2 linked regions of the Rattus norvegicus genome follow. The protein of the gene in region 1 interacts with the protein of each later gene in a pairwise test. Links are inferred from orthologs where the notes say so. Each region holds a gene or a part of one and is shown in the gene's direction. Other genes may lie near its edges.

The links.
Region 2: the proteins of Sdcbp2 (region 1) and Zcchc17 interact in binary tests that used the Homo sapiens proteins (3 or more experiments, as listed by UniProt). The two-hybrid records come from large-scale screens. The link is inferred for Rattus norvegicus from reciprocal best matches to the Homo sapiens genes SDCBP2 and ZCCHC17.

The regions. Positions count from the first base shown.
Region 1 is NC_086021.1:160,550,111-160,557,750, forward strand, and holds part of Sdcbp2 (syntenin-2), read left to right. Parts: intron 1-62; coding exon 63-163; intron 164-4,177; coding exon 4,178-4,336; intron 4,337-4,893; coding exon 4,894-5,069; intron 5,070-5,148; coding exon 5,149-5,320; intron 5,321-7,437; coding exon 7,438-7,529; intron 7,530-7,640.
Region 2 is NC_086023.1:147,940,694-147,949,129, reverse strand, and holds the end of Zcchc17 (zinc finger CCHC domain-containing protein 17), read left to right. Parts: intron 1-4,945; coding exon 4,946-5,107; 3' UTR 5,108-6,341; downstream 6,342-8,436. Other genes in the region: Fabp3 (fatty acid-binding protein, heart), read right to left, coding at 7,610-7,780.

The DNA.
Region 1 (7,640 bases):
TGGGCCAGCCAAGGTGGCTCTGCATAAGCCCAAGTGATACCTTGTCTCTTCCTTCCCATCAGAGCTGTATCCAAACCTAGCAGAACTGGAAAGTTATATGGGACTGTCCCTCTCTAGCCAAGAAGTTCAGAAGAATCTGTCTCAGATTCCAGATGGTGACAATGTAGGTATTTGTCTTCTGCCTTATGTGGCCACTAAATTTCCTACCTTCTGGTCTTGCTATTTTAAAAGGTGTGTGTGTGTGTGTGTGTGTGTGTGTGTGTGTGTGTGTGTGTGTGTGTGTGTGTGTATGTCAACCCAGACATTCTTTCTACCATTAATTAGGACCCAGATGTACTTGTTCTAAATTATGATTGCTACTTTTTTTTTTAAAGACTGTGTCTCACTATGTAGCCTTGGCTAACCTGGAACTGGCTATGGAGACCCAAACGGCTTCAAAGTCATAGAAATCTGCCTGCTTCTGCCTTCCAAGTGCTGAAATTAAACACCCCCACCTTGGTGGCCTTTGAAAAAGATTTGTTTTATTTTTATGTATATGATTGCCTGTATGTATGTGTACTACATGTGTGATTGGTACCCAAGGAAGCCAGACGAGGATGTCAGATCGCTTGATCTAGAGTTACAGAAGGTTGTGAGCCACCATGTGGGTGCTGGGTCCTTTGCAAGAGCACCAGATGGTCTTCACTGCTAAGCAGCCTCTCTCCAGCCCTACACTTGGCAATTTTTATCACTGTAATTACTTTCCATGTTTAAAGTGTTTTTGTTTTTAAGTAGAGGGTCCTAGGAGGTTGCAAAGACAAACTGTCTATTTCATCAAGTGTAGCTTTCACATCCGCAGTACAGTAGCAAGACTAACAACTTACACTAGTAGAGTGTGTGTCTATAGCTCTGTCAGCTTACCCCTGTTCAAATGAAGACAGTCACTCACCCATCTAAAGACAGGACCGTCCCTCTTCAGAAAGCGCTCCTCCTATCCTATCCACCTTCGTGGTCACACCTACATCCTCCCTAGCCCCTGGCAACCTCTCTCTCTCTCTCTCTCTCTCTCTCTCTCCCTCTCTTTAAAGATTTTATTTATTATATATAAGTACACTGCAGCTGTCTTCAGACACATCAGAAGAGGGCATCAGATCTCATTACAGATGGTTGTGAGCCACCATGTGGTTGCTGGGATTTGAACTCAGGACCTCTGGAAGAGCAGTCAGTGCTCTCAACCGCTGAGCCATCTCTCCAGCCCAATTTCTCTTTTTTCATTCCTTCCTCTTCCTCTTCCCCCTCCCTCCCCCCCTTTGGCAGTACTCAGAAACTCACGGATGTTGGGCAACTGTTCTACCACTGTGCCACACTCCTAGCCTTGTTCTCCCAACTTTGTTTTTCTGTCTGAATAATTTTATCATTTCTGAATGTTATCTAAGCATACATCAGAAACGATGACTCTTAGGGGATGTCGTATGCTTGTGTTATGTCATGTATCTGTGGTATATGTGCATGTGGGTGTAGGCTAGGATGTTGTATACATGTTGTTGTATGTATGTGTTATGTTGTGGGTTATGTTGTGGGTCTGTGGTGGGTCTGTGTTATATGCGCATGTGGGTATAGACTAGGATGTTGTATACGTGTTGTTGTATGTATGTGTTATGTTGTGGGTTATGTTGTGGGTCTGTGGTGGGTCTGTGTTATATGTGCATGTGGGTGTAGATTAGGATGTTGTATATGTGTTGTTGTATACATGTGTTATGTTGTAGGTCTGTGTTATATGTCCATGTGGGTGTAGACTAGGGTCGATGTCTTGTTCTGTCTCTTCTCATCTTTATTTTTTGAGACAGGGTCTCTCGTTGGGCCTGAAGCTCATTGATTCATCCAGGCTGAGTACTGAATGGCAGGGATCTGCCTGTCTGTCTCCCCAGTTCCCCAGCTTTTTATGTGGGTTCTAAGACTCTGAATTCAGGTCCCCATGCACACATAATTGGCACTCCTTTTTTTTTTCTTACTCCTTTTTACAGTTTCTTAGTCTTATATACGAAGGCATTTATGACATAGCAGGCTGGAATACAGTCATCACACAATGTGGTAAATGAGTGTTCACAGGCAGCTGCTCTCAGGCTATCTTCTGGAGGGGCTGTCTGTGCATTCCCCTCCCCTGCCAGTGGTGCCAAATATACCCAGTGCCTTGACATCCTCCCCAGCACTTGGCATCATCACGAGTTATGACAGGTCTTCACCTGCATTCTCCTAATGGTTAGTGATATGGAATATCTGATTATGTCCCCACTGCATGAGACAAGGTCTGGCCAGGCTGTTCTTGAACTTCTGACCCTCCTGCTTCCAGCTCTCAAGTGCTGGGGCTCCGGGTGTGAACCACACCTGGTCTGTGTGGTGTTGGGGATTAAACCTTGTACACTCTCCAGGCCGAGCCAAATCACCAGCCCCATTTCATGCATTTTAATTGGACTTTTAAATGTTGGCTTTAGGGGTTATGTTTTATAATCTGGGGTCCTTGTCAGATACATGAGTTGTAAATACCACACCAAGTCTTAGGTTTAGCTCGTTATCTCCTTGACAGAGGAGGGGAAAACCTTTTAATTTTAATGAGGTCAAGGTTTTTTCCCCATACTTCTTTTGAGTTTGCTTTATAAAGAAAATTTCCCTAAGCCCTGAGTCCTAAAGATTTTCTCTTTTACATTGTGCTGAAATTACTACGGTTTTGTTTACATTTAACTTTATAATTGAATTTGAGTAGATTTTTGGGGAAAGTGTGCAGTTTATGTCGTGGTTCCTATTTTTGCCCCTGCCTGTCCGTTGCTGTAGTAGATCTTGTTGAGATAGTCCCCTACCCCCAACTGACCTCGACCTCTGCCACAGAGCACCCATGCTCCCCTCAGTAAGGATCTCTCTGGATTTCCCAGATAGCTGTTGACTGAGGTATCTAGAATCCGAAGCCTTGGATACTGTGACAAGAGACATCCTGGTGTGTTTGTGTGGTTTCTCACATTTTGTCTTTTGTCTGAGTAAATGTCATTACTCACATCCCTTTGTCTTTCTACCTAAAGCTAGGGGACCTTACCTGTATCCAAAACAGCCCGCAGAGCCTTCATAGAAACGTCCTTTGTGTCCGAGGCTTTGCTAGCTCTTCCTGTGTGCATAACCAGGAAACAATGTTTACTTAGGTCTGAAACGTTTCTGCATCCTAGATTTTTGTCACCTTCGGTATATAGTCTCTACATATGTCTCGTTAGATTCACACATATCTCATTTTTTTTTTCTGCCTTTTGGGGGGAGGTTGGTCAGGGTGTAGATAAATAGTTGAGTCCGTGGCTCAGGCTGACTTTTGACTCCTGAGTTTGAGTGAACCTCTTGCCTCAGCCTCATTGGTAGTTAAGACTACAGGTGTGGGGGTTGGGGATTTAGCTCAGTGGTAGAGCGCTTGCCTAGCAAGCGCAAGGCCCTGGGTTCGGTCCCCAGCTCTGGAAAAAAAAAAGAAAAAAAAAAAAAGAGAAGAAGACTACAGGTGTGAGGTCCCCATCCCAGCACAGTTGATTTTCGTATGCTGACAATGAATTCTAGACCTTGAGGAATGTTTGTATTTCACTTATAGTTAGGAGTTTTAGATTTCTGCAGACATTCTAGTGGACGATCATGGCGTCAACAGGAGCGATTGTATCTTTCCATCCTGTGTGATCTTTTCTGTTTTCTTGCCTCATTGCACTGGCCAGATTGTCCAGTCCAGTGTCTGGTGAGACTGGGCAGCTTTTGGATATCCATAGGAGGGGACTTTTGTTCATTTTAAGTTTTGAATCAGATTATTTTGTCCAAGACAAAGTCAAAACTAGCCCTGTCATCCACCTTTGACAGCTCACTATTTACTGTGAAAATGGCTTTTTTTTTAAAAGTGAAATCTAAGTGCGTCTTTTCTTGATATTAATTTCCCTTGGAAAATACAGTGACCCCTCCCTGAACCCAGCTTCCTCTCTCCCTCCTCTCATGTTTAGGGGTGTGGATTTTGATGCTCTCTACAAGTTTCATCGAGCTCCATTTTCTCTCAGCCTCTGCCAAGTGTGTAAGAGGGGAACTCAGGGAGTTTCAGTCCACTTTACTCATCCCTACCTAGAACTCAGTGACCCTCAAGGCATGGGCCCTAGTGCTTGGATGACCCCCACTCCCACTACTGTGCCTGCAGATGGTGATCACTAGCCCTGGACCTGGCCAGGTGACAGCGCCAGTATCTGGGAACGACCTAGGTGTCCTGCGTGCAGAGATCAAGCCTGGTGTGCGAGAGATCCACCTGTGCAAGGATGAGCGGGGCAAGACTGGACTGCGTCTGCAGGCTGTTGACAAGGTAAGCAATGTCTGGAGTGGAGTCCCTGCAGGAGACTGTGCTCCTCTGGTGCTAGATAGCCCTGTCACAGCCCCAGGAATACAAGTTCCCCTTTGGGACAGCCACCCAGCAGCCTGAGATGGCATTAGTATGTAGGGGCCTCCTCTTCCAGGACTCAGAGAGCCTCTGTTCACAGCAAAGAAGATTCTGAAAAGGCGTCTTAATATCTGAGGCCTCGAGATTGTGCCTTGTTGCTGCAGGGATCAGTCCCATACAAGACTCCTGCCACTCAAGAGTCCCCTATCCTCACCCCCTTTTCCTGTGCCCTAATTCCTGTGGGTCTGGCTTCCTGATGACTGTAGAGAAAAGCAGCCAGACATCTTTAGGGAGAATTGATCATGGTGCTGAAATTGTGATTCAGCTTACTCTGTGTGGTCTGCTGTGTTTCCTCTTCCAGGAAAATAGGGGTAACCTGTGTATCCCTTACAGATCTTGGGTTCCACTACACTATAAGCTCACAGGATATGGGGAAAGAAGATCATAGAGGAGGGTGGCTGACTCTGGGTCCTGCCTTCCAGGGGCTCTTTGTGCAGCTGGTCCAGGCCAACACCCCAGCATCCCTTGTGGGATTGCGCTTTGGGGACCAGATCCTGCAGATCGATGGCTGTGACTGTGCTGGGTGGAGCACACACAAAGCTCAGAAAGCATTGAAGAAGGCATCAGCAGAGAAGATCGTCATGGTTGTACGGGACAGGTCAGTGTCCAGTCCCCAGCATCCTCCCTGCCTGGCCCAGCCACACCTGAACACCCAGCTTACTGTCACTCTTTACCAGGCCGTTCCAGCGGACTGTCACCATGCACAAAGACAGCTCAGGTCAAGTTGGCTTCTTCATCAAAAAGGGGAAGATTGTCTCTGTGGTCAAGGGAAGCTCTGCAGCCCGCAATGGACTTCTAACGAACCACTACGTGTGTGAGGTGAACGGACAGAACGTCATTGGGCTAAAGGTAGGCGGTGGTGTACCTCTGTCAGGTGTACATTTCTGTCAGGAAATGTTGGCACCGTTGAGATGATGAGGGTGGGATAGCTCCTGTCTGCATAATCTGTGAAACCTGCCGGAGCCTCAACTTCCCCATCCTAAGCTTGATGCAGGCTTCAGTATGACTTCATGTGTGCAGCTCTGAGCAATGTTAATCAGAATGAGTAGATGCCTAGTAAGAATTTGTTCTGGCTGCTGGCCACAAAGACATCACCACTACCACCTCCTCCTCTTCTTCCTCTTCCTCCTCCTCCTCCTCCTCTTCCTCTTCATCCTCCTCCTCTTCCTCCTCTTCCTCCTCTTCATCCTCCTCTTCCTCCTCTTCATCCTCCTCTTCTTCCTCCTCCTCCTCTTCCTCCTCTTCCTCCTTCTCCTCTTCCTCTTCTTCCTCCTCTTCCTCCTCTTCCTCCTCCTCTTCCTCCTCCTCCTCTTCTTCCTCCTCTTCCTCCTCCTCTTCCTCCTCTTCATCCTCCTCTTCTTCCTCCTCTTCTTCCTCCTCTTCCTCCTCCTCCTCCTCCTCCTCTTCTTCCTCCTCTTCCTCCTCCTCCTTCCTCTTCCTCCTCTTCCTCCTCCTCTTCCTCCTCCTCCTCTTCTTCCTCCTCTTCCTCCTCCTCTTCCTCCTCCTCCTCTTCTTCCTCTTCATCCTCCTCTTCCTCCTCCTCCTCTTCTTCCTCTTCTTCCTCCTCTTCCTCCTTTTCCTCTTCCTCCTCTTCCTCCTCCTCCTCCTTGTGGCACTTCTCTGTGGATGCTGATCACAGTCAGTAATGGTGTCTCCTCTAAAATACTGACTTAGAAATCCATTTCCGACCTCGGCTTACTCTTCGGGGAGGGCAGATGAATTATATCTTTACGAAGCGAGAAGGTGCGCATGGCTTTAGGCACATGCTATAGATCTGGAAAGATGGGTGACTTCTGGGAACGGGCAGAGGTGAGGTGTGTGGTCTGAGCCATGGACAGATGAAAGCGACCCAGTCCTGACCTCGTGCTGCTCTACAGCGGCTGTGCTTCTCCACCTCGTGACCCCATAGTGGCCACAAGCCACTCCTATCGTGTGTCTGCTTCCTTGGGGGCAGTCTCCCCTCACCTTCTGTGGAGGCTTATTCTGGTGGCCTGTGCTGCTGTGCTCAGGAAACTCTTCTGCATCTGAGATCCCCCCCCCCCCCCGTGCCTCCTCTCTCATTTCTCTGCGATCAGCATACCAAGCAAAAGGCCACCACAGTCTGGGCTTGAAAATCCGAGTGTCGTAATGCCACTCGTGAGCAGTTTTGAAAAGCTACCAATTCAGTCACAATGCTATGAGTAGCCATGCTTGGTTGTGGGTCTTACAGCTGCACAGATGGCCCGAAGCATCAAGGGGAATTTACAGGTTACTCTGCCTACCTGTGGTACCATGAGACCCTTAGGCACCAGGCCTGTGCTCGTGAGCAGTGTCTGGTACTTACACTTTTTGAGATCAGTCATCTGATCTCAAAGTCTGTGACCATCAGTAGTCCTCTGAAGCATCTCTTCCTCAAATACAGAACCAGATTCCTTATAAATGCACAATGATGGTCACCAGGGCCTGAGCAGGGACCAGGGGCTTCATCACCACAGTGTAGTCATTCAACCGCTGGACATTATTTGCATGGAGGTCGTCTGTTATTCTCTTCATGATCTAAGCAGCTTCTCGGGCTTGCCTTACTAGTCAGTGAGGTGGGGAGAGGACTTCAGGCTGGTGAGCCCACAGGAGCCTGTGCATACAGGTGAATCTAGTGTCTCCCACTGGAGCCCAAGTGTGACTGGGCCCAGCAAAGTTGGGAGGGGCCTAAGAATCACGTTTGTGAGACAGTGCCATCAGGTCTATATGACTGGCTGGCCTCCGAGGAATGGGAGGCCAGTGTCACGCTTCTATGACCCTGGCAATTTTCAGATGAGAGGAATGGTACCCCACCTGAGATGTCCAGGGTCCTCGGCAGCAGCTGCTGCAGGCAAGTGTGAGGTGTGCATGGTGTCCTCCAGCCATAGCCATACTAACCTACCAGTTGGGCTGCAGTGCTATCCCTGTATCCCTGGTACCCAGGATGACCAAGCACTTTCCTCCTCTAGGACAAAAAGATTATCGAGATTCTGACCACAGCTGGAAATGTTATCACACTGACCATCATCCCCACTGTGATTTACGAGCATATGATCAAAAAGTAAGGCTCTAATACCCCACCTCCGCACTCTCCCCGCCCCCGCCCCCGTCCCCGACCCCGCCCCCGTCCCCGCCCCCGCCCCGCTCCTGCCCCTGTCCCCATCCCGTGCCC
Region 2 (8,436 bases), on another chromosome or scaffold:
TTTGTTTTTTGAGACAAGGTTTCACTCTAACCATGGTTGGCCTGACAGAGATCTATCTGCCTCTGCCTCCTGAGTGCTGAGATTATAGAAATGGCTTGGTCAGTTTATTTTAAATGAATTATTTATTCATTTTGTTGGTGAGGAATGACATCACGCCTTGCTCTTGTGGAGGTCCAAGGACAATTTGGAGACTGTTCTCTCCTTCTATTGAGTAGGTCGTCAGGGGTGAAGCAAGAACCTTTACCCATTGAGCTTGCCTGCCCCGGGTTTTGTTTTGTAACCAGAGGCCTTTATCTCTTGGTGTTGCGTGTTGATTTATTTCTATATATCATATAAATCAGGATTCAGGTCTCCCAAGTTCCAGCAGTCCTCCTATCCTTTTACCCTCTCAATCTCCTTTTCTCTTTCCTTTTTCTCCTCTTCTTGGAGACTGGGTATCCCAGACTGGCCTGGAATTTGCTATCCTGCCTCACCTGAGTGTCACTGTCACAGCCCCTCCAAACCTTGGGTTCTCTTAGGGGATGGGCTACCTTTCCAGTAAGAAATGGACTTGAGGAGTCCATGTGTGGGCTTGTACACTACTCCAGGACTCGTGGTTCTGGGGCCATGTGCAGAAAGAACGGAGCAGTTTATCTGAAGAACGTTTGGTCCACACTGTCAACAGGAGTGGCAACGGGAGTGGCTGTAGGTGGTAGTCATTTGTGGACGGCTTCTCAGAGGGCGTAAGATCACTTCATTCAATCAGTTAGTTGCTTAAGGCGAGAGAGATAATCAGCTAAGGTATGCAGGGCAATAAAGGAAACACATCCAAGGAGGCCACTGGCTCTCATGACCTTCAAAGGACAGGAAGTGAAGTGTAGTCAAGTGGCTCAGGACTACAGCTGGAAAGTCCACGTGGAGGCTGCTGAACCTCACCCATTTCTCAAGTCACTTCAGTGTCTTCCTTCCGTATTCAGGTAGAAGAACATATTTAATACTAAGCCTGTAAGACAGGAGATGCCGGCAAAGTCTGCTCAGAAGCCTCGGTGCTTCAGCTTTTTAAAAAAACACGTTAATTATTTCAGTGTTATGGTGTGTTTGACGGCATGCATGTGCCACAGCCTGTGTCAGGGGTCAGAGGTCAGAGGACAACGTCGTAGAGTTGGCTCTCTCCTTCCTCTTCTGTGGGTTCTGGGGATGAACTCGGGTCACCAGGTTTGTACAGTAAGTGCTCATCCTGCCGAGCCATCCTCCTGCCTCCCCTACCCACTCCTACTTTGGGACGTGGTCTGGCCTCCAGCTCCCTGTGTAGTGGAGGATGACCGTAAGCACCTGGCCTTGCTGTCTGTATCTACCAGATACTGAGCGTACACCCAGGTACACTAATCCACTTCTGCAGTATGATGTCATCTCCCGCCATTCTCTCCACACACACTGTACTTCAGCTTCATGCACGAGTGAGCTTCTGTTCCAGTCACTGAGGGGCACAATGAGGAAATGGCCTGCTGTTGTCGCATTGTGGTCTAATGGAAGAGATGTAAGCAAACACAGTGAGACCTTAATACACCAGATAGGGCAAGTGCCATGGAGAAAGAGCTCTGGGATGTTTACTATGTGGCACTGGTCCCAGCACCTTGTGCATGGTAGGCCCGTGCTCTGCCACTGGGCCACAGCCCAGCCCGCCCTTTATTGCCATTGTAGATAGGGTGGTACTCTTAGAGACTATCATCTGAAACCACGTGCGATGCTGTAGTCCCAGCATGAGAGGCTGTGGCTGGGGGACTCCAAGGTCAAGGCCTATCTGGGCTGCATAGCAAGGCCTTGTCTCAAAAAAATAAAATAAAATAAGAGAGGATTATTTGGATCAGAATGTTATCTGCAGCATTGAAGTAGCTGGGTGCTGGGAGTGAGCTTGGCACTCATCAGGAGAATGTGGAGGCTGTATAGGTAGTACAGAGTGAGTGGCTGACAAGGAGGCCTAGACACTACAGAGGGCTGGCTGCTGGTTGTAGGAAATTCATTTTCTAAATAGAGCTTTTCAGCAGTGCAAGGACATGACCTGATAGTCTCACTGTGTAGTGATGGCTGACCCAGAACTTACTGTGTAGACCAGCTTGGCCTTGAATTCACAGAGGTCCACCTGCTTCTGTCTTCCCTTTTAAGATAATTTTTCGGGGGCTGGAGAGATGGCTCAGTGGTTAAGAGCACTGATTGCTCCTGCAGAGGTCCTGAGTTCAAATCCTAGCAACCACATGGTGGCTCACAACCATCTGTAATGGGATCTGATGCCCTTTTCTGGTGTGTCTGAAGACAGCTACAGTGTACTCATATATATTAAATAAATCTTTTTTAAAAAAGATAATTTTTCTGGCTACTATGTGAAAACGTGCAGGTCAGAAAGCAAGGCCAGTTGTCTTCAGGCCAGTTGACAAAGATGCCTGGAGTGTGCTGTCATGACTGTGGTAGAGAGGACGAGACAGGATCTAATGTAGATTTGAAGGCAGAGCTGACAGTCAGGTGAGAGATTGGATGAATGGCAGGGGAGGGAACTGATAACGACCGCATCAAGATTGGACTGTACCTGAAAGATCTGAGGTGAGAGACACTAGAGAAGCTGTCAAGACCTTAGTTTGAGTCAGGTGGTGGTGCACATACCTTTGATCCTAGAGCCCAAAAGGCAGAGGCAGGCGGGTCTCTGAATTTGAGCCAACCTGGTGTACAGAGTGAGGAGGACAGTGCTCCTGGGAGATACATCCTCCCGTCATCTGCATGCAGAGTCCAACCTCTGTAATGTGGGACAAGCGCTTCTCACTTCTCCAGGCCGTGGATACTGTTTCATTGAGTCATCAGAGCGTGTGCTGTGGGTGCTATTCTTAGCTGTTCTCTGTCTGAAGCGCTAGACCTCAGTGAGGTGAGATGACTGGCCAAGACTGCAGAGTAGAGCTCAGGCTTGGGTCTGCGTGACACCTGGGTCTACGTGACACCTGGCTTGCTGTTCCCTCCCATCACCTCAGGGTGGATGGCCCAAGCAAACAGGCTTGCAGGATGCTGGCTACAAAAGCCTGCAGGAGCTTCTCTGCTCTGTTCTCCCGCCCTCCTCCTGTAGTCTCCTCTTAGGAGCTTTGCTGAGGCACTGTAGGTACTTAATTCAAGGAGGCAGCTTATTCAGTGTGAAGAACTACCCAGGTTGCCCCACAGGAGCCTGGGAACCAACCTACCAACTCTGGGTTTGTGCTGTTAGCGCTGGTGACATGGTTGTGTGTAGGGTGTCTAACTGTAGGAACTCTCCCCCCTTGTGGGAAAAAAGAGATGTGAAATGTTTGTTTACCTCTGCAGACTTTCTGGCACATTCTGCTTCTTTTCACAGCTCTTGCCCTTTCTTTGTGAGGAAAAGTCACGTGATCATGCTCCCTCCGAAGCTCCTTTATACCAACCACTTGCAGCTCATGATAGTTATTACCAATTAGGGGGAAGAGAGGCTATTTTTCCATTGCTAGCACGTCAGTGGAGGCTACTTTTAAGGGGAAGGGTCACGTTTGAATCGCAGTGGCATCCACCAGGGGATCAGGACTGTTCCCCATCCTCTGTGGCAGCTCCTCACCCCTCCAGGGTTCTGGACCTCCCATGGCATACTCTGCAGAGTAAACTTGCTTATGAAGATGTTTTTTACTAAAAAGGATAGCGCAGGGGCCAGTGGTGTTGCTCAAGCTGAGACCTGAGTTGGTGGGAGAGAACCAACCCTTGAAAGCTGTCCTCTAACTGCCACTTGTGGGCTATGGAGTGCAGAGTGTGTGAGTGTGTGTGTGTGTGTGTGTGTGTGTATGTGTGTGTGTGTGCGCGCACACACACACATACACACACATTCACTTATAAATATAACAATTGCAGTAGAGAGAAAAGCCTAGGGTACACGTTCTCCCAAAGAATGCAAACGGCTGACTTGGTAGTACACTCATGCAGTTCCAGCATTCTGGAAGCTAGGCGGGAGGATCAACTCAACTACATGAGACCCTGCTTCAAAAACTCCTCCCCCAAAAATACTTGTTTTTCCTGATACTTTAACCATTAAAAGGACTGATCTAAACTTACTTGTTTTGAGACAGAGTCTCTTTCCACAGCTGTTGTTATCTTGGAACTCACTATGTATATCAGGCTGGCCAAGAACTCACTGAGATCTACCGTGCCCAACAAGTACTTAAACAAATACCTTTAATCCCAGCAGAGGCAGGCAGATCTCTGAATTCTAGGCCAGCCTGGTCTATAGCGTGAGTTCTAGGACAGCCAAGGCCACACAGAGAAACCTTGTCTCAAAAACAAATGAAAAAGACTAGTTGCTTGTTTTTAAAAAACAACAAGAAAAAAAAAAAAAAACACTGGGCTGGAGAAGTGCTATTCAAGTTCAGTTCCCAGAACCCACATTGGGCGTCTCACAACCACGTACAACTAACTCTAGCCTCAGGGGAGTCTAAGGGCACTACCTGCACAGGTGTGTGTGTGTGTGTGTGTGTGTGTGTGTGTGTGTGTGTGTGCTCGCGCGCGCACACACACACACACACGCTCGCGTGCATAGTGGCGTGTCTATGTTGTATACATGAGCACACTTTCACTGTGGTTCAAATAAGATAGAAGTCTACAAGTGCTGTGTGTCTTAGTTCTCCCTCGCGTTTGGGATTTTGCTGCCTTTTTATTTTAGTCTGGCCGGTCTGGAGCTCCCGATGTACACTCCCCCAAATCTGCCTCTGTAGCACTGCGATTGCAGGCATGCACCACTCTACCCTGGTTTCTTTTTGCAAGGGCTTATGCAGTTCTGCCTGACCTTGAAATCCTCACGTCCCTGTCCCCTCTTCCCCACTGCTAGAATTGCAGGCAGCACCACAGACAGCTGTAGTTTACCTGGTGGTCACCGCTGGGGTTTCGATGTGAGAGACAGACACACGAGTGTTGAAACTTTACATTTCCCTCTTAGGAAAAGAAGAAGAAGAAACATAGAGACAGGAAGTCGTCTGACTGTGATAGCCCTGACTCTGAGAGTGACACGGGCAAGAAGGCGAGGCACACAGCAAAAGACAGCAAGGCTCCAAAGAAGAAAAAGAAGAAGAAGAAACACAAGAAGAAGCACAAGGAATGATGGTGGAGCAGGCCGCAGCAGCCTTGGCTCCTGCAAAGACTTACTAGTGAGAATGTGGCCTCCTACCCCACTGACTCTGTCCCCATGGTCTCGGATGGCTTTTCCTCATGCAGCAAGCAGATTGGGGAGCCAGAGGGCAGCTCCCAAAATGGTTTTTCCTTGTTGCTCCTGATCCCTTTGCAAGTGACCCCTGCACCCATCGCATTCACGAGCTCAGTTTCTTCATTCAGCAGAAGGGTCTAGTACCACCCCGGCTGCCACTGCCAGAGCTGGATTCCGTTGCAGGAGTCTGTGCTGGAGCCACAGGTGCTACTGTGGAGGTGAGCCTGGCTGTGGCGGAAGAGCCACCCTGACCTGCCTGCTGTCTGGGGTGGTTGTGGGTGGACTCTGCGGCCTCTATTCGCTCAGCCAGGGCCTGTGAGGAGGACAGTGTTTGCAGTGACCGCTGAACCAGAGATCTGTAGCCAAGGTCATTGCTCTGCTTCTATCACTGTGTGACTGACTGGTTCCATTTCAGGCCTCTGCTTAAATTCCTGGCATAACTGGAAACGTGTTTGGTTTTAAACTTTGCAGAAGGCTTCATTCCTATAATCCTTCCTGGGTGACTTAGAGACTTAACACATCAGTTCACAGAAAACACTTAATATGTTATCCAAGACCCTGGAAAGAGGCCAAGCAGAGGCACAAAGCCAAGGCCACTAGCAGGTCACAGCTTTCTTGAGATTACTTATAAATCCTCTCTTCCACAGTGAAGACCTCTTTCCCCTGGGCTGACTAGGAAACCAGTGTTTGTAACCTGAGGACTTGCTGGGCATGATGAGTGTGTGGCTCTTAGCAGTCACCTCCCACCATAGTGGTCCACGCGTGGACCTTGATGTCCTGAACTTGTACTCCAAAGAGAGGGTGACCACAGCATACCACGTAGCTAATCCAGGACTGTTGTGTGCAGGATGGATGTGAAGTAGCCACTCAGTGACAGCCAGCTCCTCTGAGCAGGGGCGGGTCAGTGCAAAGGCTCGCATAGGTGCTGCTGTCTCCGCACTGAGCCCGAGACTGTCCACTCAGCTCCTTATCAGCCCTGCTTCCCAGGTGACCTGCAGGCCTTCACTTCAGCACTGACACACAGGAAAGAAGACCAAAGGCAGAGGCAACTGGGTGGCCTTGGCTCTGCTTTATTGACCTTGGAGCACCCTTTGGATACAGTTTTAAAAAATAAACCACATACACAATGGGACCTGGGTCCAGGCTGGTGTCCCATATCTCCAGGAAAAGCCCAACCAAAGAGTATTTATATAAAACGTCAGAGGGGAGAAACATGAGGCAACGTGGTGCTGAGTTAGGGGTAGCCATTGGCAGAGGAGCAGTCAGTGACGGGGCAGCCAGGTCACGCCTCCTTCTCGTAAGTCCGAGTGCTCACCACATTGCCATGGGTGAGAGTCTGCAAGGAAAGACAGGGTCAGATGGGGCAGAGCAGGAGAGGGAGCACTCCCCACCCTCATCCTGAGCTGCACTTGGGGACCCCTGTGCGCCAGGCGCTTTCCTTTTTCTTTTTTTTTTCTTTTTTTCTGATGCAGATCTTTTAAGGTAGATGTTATAATTACCATTTTAGAGATTTGGGGGGAAAATAGACCCTTGAAAGAGGTAAATTGGTCAGGATCCAGTACATTCCTGTTCCTCTTTTATGTTCAGCACCTGCCTAAGGGGGTGTCTGGTGCAAGGCAGACAAACTGGTGATAAGAGCAGCCAGAGCCTTGAGGAACTAAGCTACCAACTTTCCCTTCCTCCCTGACCATCCAGTATTCAGGCTCAGTAGAGACCAGCCATGGCCTCCTCTTACTCTATTACCCGGTGAAATGGTCCTGTTTGTTTCCTCCCTTCCAGAACTAGGCACCTGACTTCTGACTCAGAGGGGACCCCAGTCTCGTGTGAATACACAATCAGCAGGTTCCACGGAGCCACCAAGGGCTGTGGTACTGACTTTGTGGTCCATGCTCCTGGCCCAGGTGCAGTCCTCCAAGGCTACTATATTCTAAGGATGCTCTCAAACTTATCCCAAAGCAGATCTACAGGCCTGGTTGTATCACCTCCTCTCTAGACAATAGATGTTTTCAGGAAGCCAGGAACAGTAGACAAAGCATGAATAAGGAGGGGGTGCTCCCGGCAGTGCCAGTCAGGCACACACTTGCTCCTGCAGATGCCTGCATTCCTACTCAGGAAGACAGAGTGGCAGCTGCTCCCCTCCTGGGATCAATTGGCCCTGCTTTCTGCCTCCTCCCGGGAACACAAGCAGGAGGAACCATTTGTGGGCAGCTGCTGCATCCTTCCTGCTTGGCTGGGCTTTGGGCTATGAATACACTGGCCTTCCAGTAGCCTCCAGGCTCCAGTCACTGTACGCATCCTAGTGGCCGTTAAAGAAGGTTACGTGTCCAGAGTCAGATAGCTTTTAGGCTGAGGCTTGAACCAAGACCTGTGACAGCCATGACCCCATCCCCGCCTCTCGTCCTACTTCCTCCCGACCCCAGGAAGGCCCTGGCCTGAGGAAGGCACGGTTCCTGTCGTTGCCCATCTTACCAGGATGAGTTTCCCATCACTTAGTTCCCGTGTAAGCGTAGTCTCCTGCCCGTCCCACTTCTGCACATGGACCAGTTTGCCTCCGTCCAGTGTCACGACCGACTGTAGAAAGAGGGAGAGCCTAAGTTGTGACCAGAGCCAGAACAGAAGGGCAAGACAAGCCCAGACAGACCAGGAACCTAACCGGTGATGGTGCTGGGATCGGCATCCAGAAAGCCCACCTCCAACCCGGCTGCACAGGCTTCCTGCTCTGGCCGCTCGGCAGAGGAGGGGCCCTCAGGCAATGGAGGAGGCAGGCAGCTCAGCCTTGGGATATATTGGAAAATTAGACTTCCCTTTATATCACGTGACCTCCCTTAACTGGCAAAAGAGCAGCAATCGCAAGGTCCTTGGACGAGGACCTGGGTATCCTTGGAGTGTTCTCCAGCTCTAACTCCAGTGACCATTTGCTCCTTAGTGCTGCCAGCCTATCTCAGCTAGTTTGTGTTGGGCAGCTGTGCCAGATCTGTCTTCTCTAGGAACCTGGGAGTTGTAGGTCAGAAGGAGAACTAAGCAGGGTTTGTTGGTAGGACTCTAGAAAGATGGCGGCTCTTTTCTGTCTATATTCCACCTTCTGGAATCTTCATTCCCCGTTCTCCAAACATCCCAGTGGACCACTGTTGTATTTAATGTGGGATCTGGTCCCGCAGAAAGATGGCAAGTTCCCGGATGTAGGTAGGGAGACATGATGGAGCAGGGCGCCTTCCCCATCTCCAAAG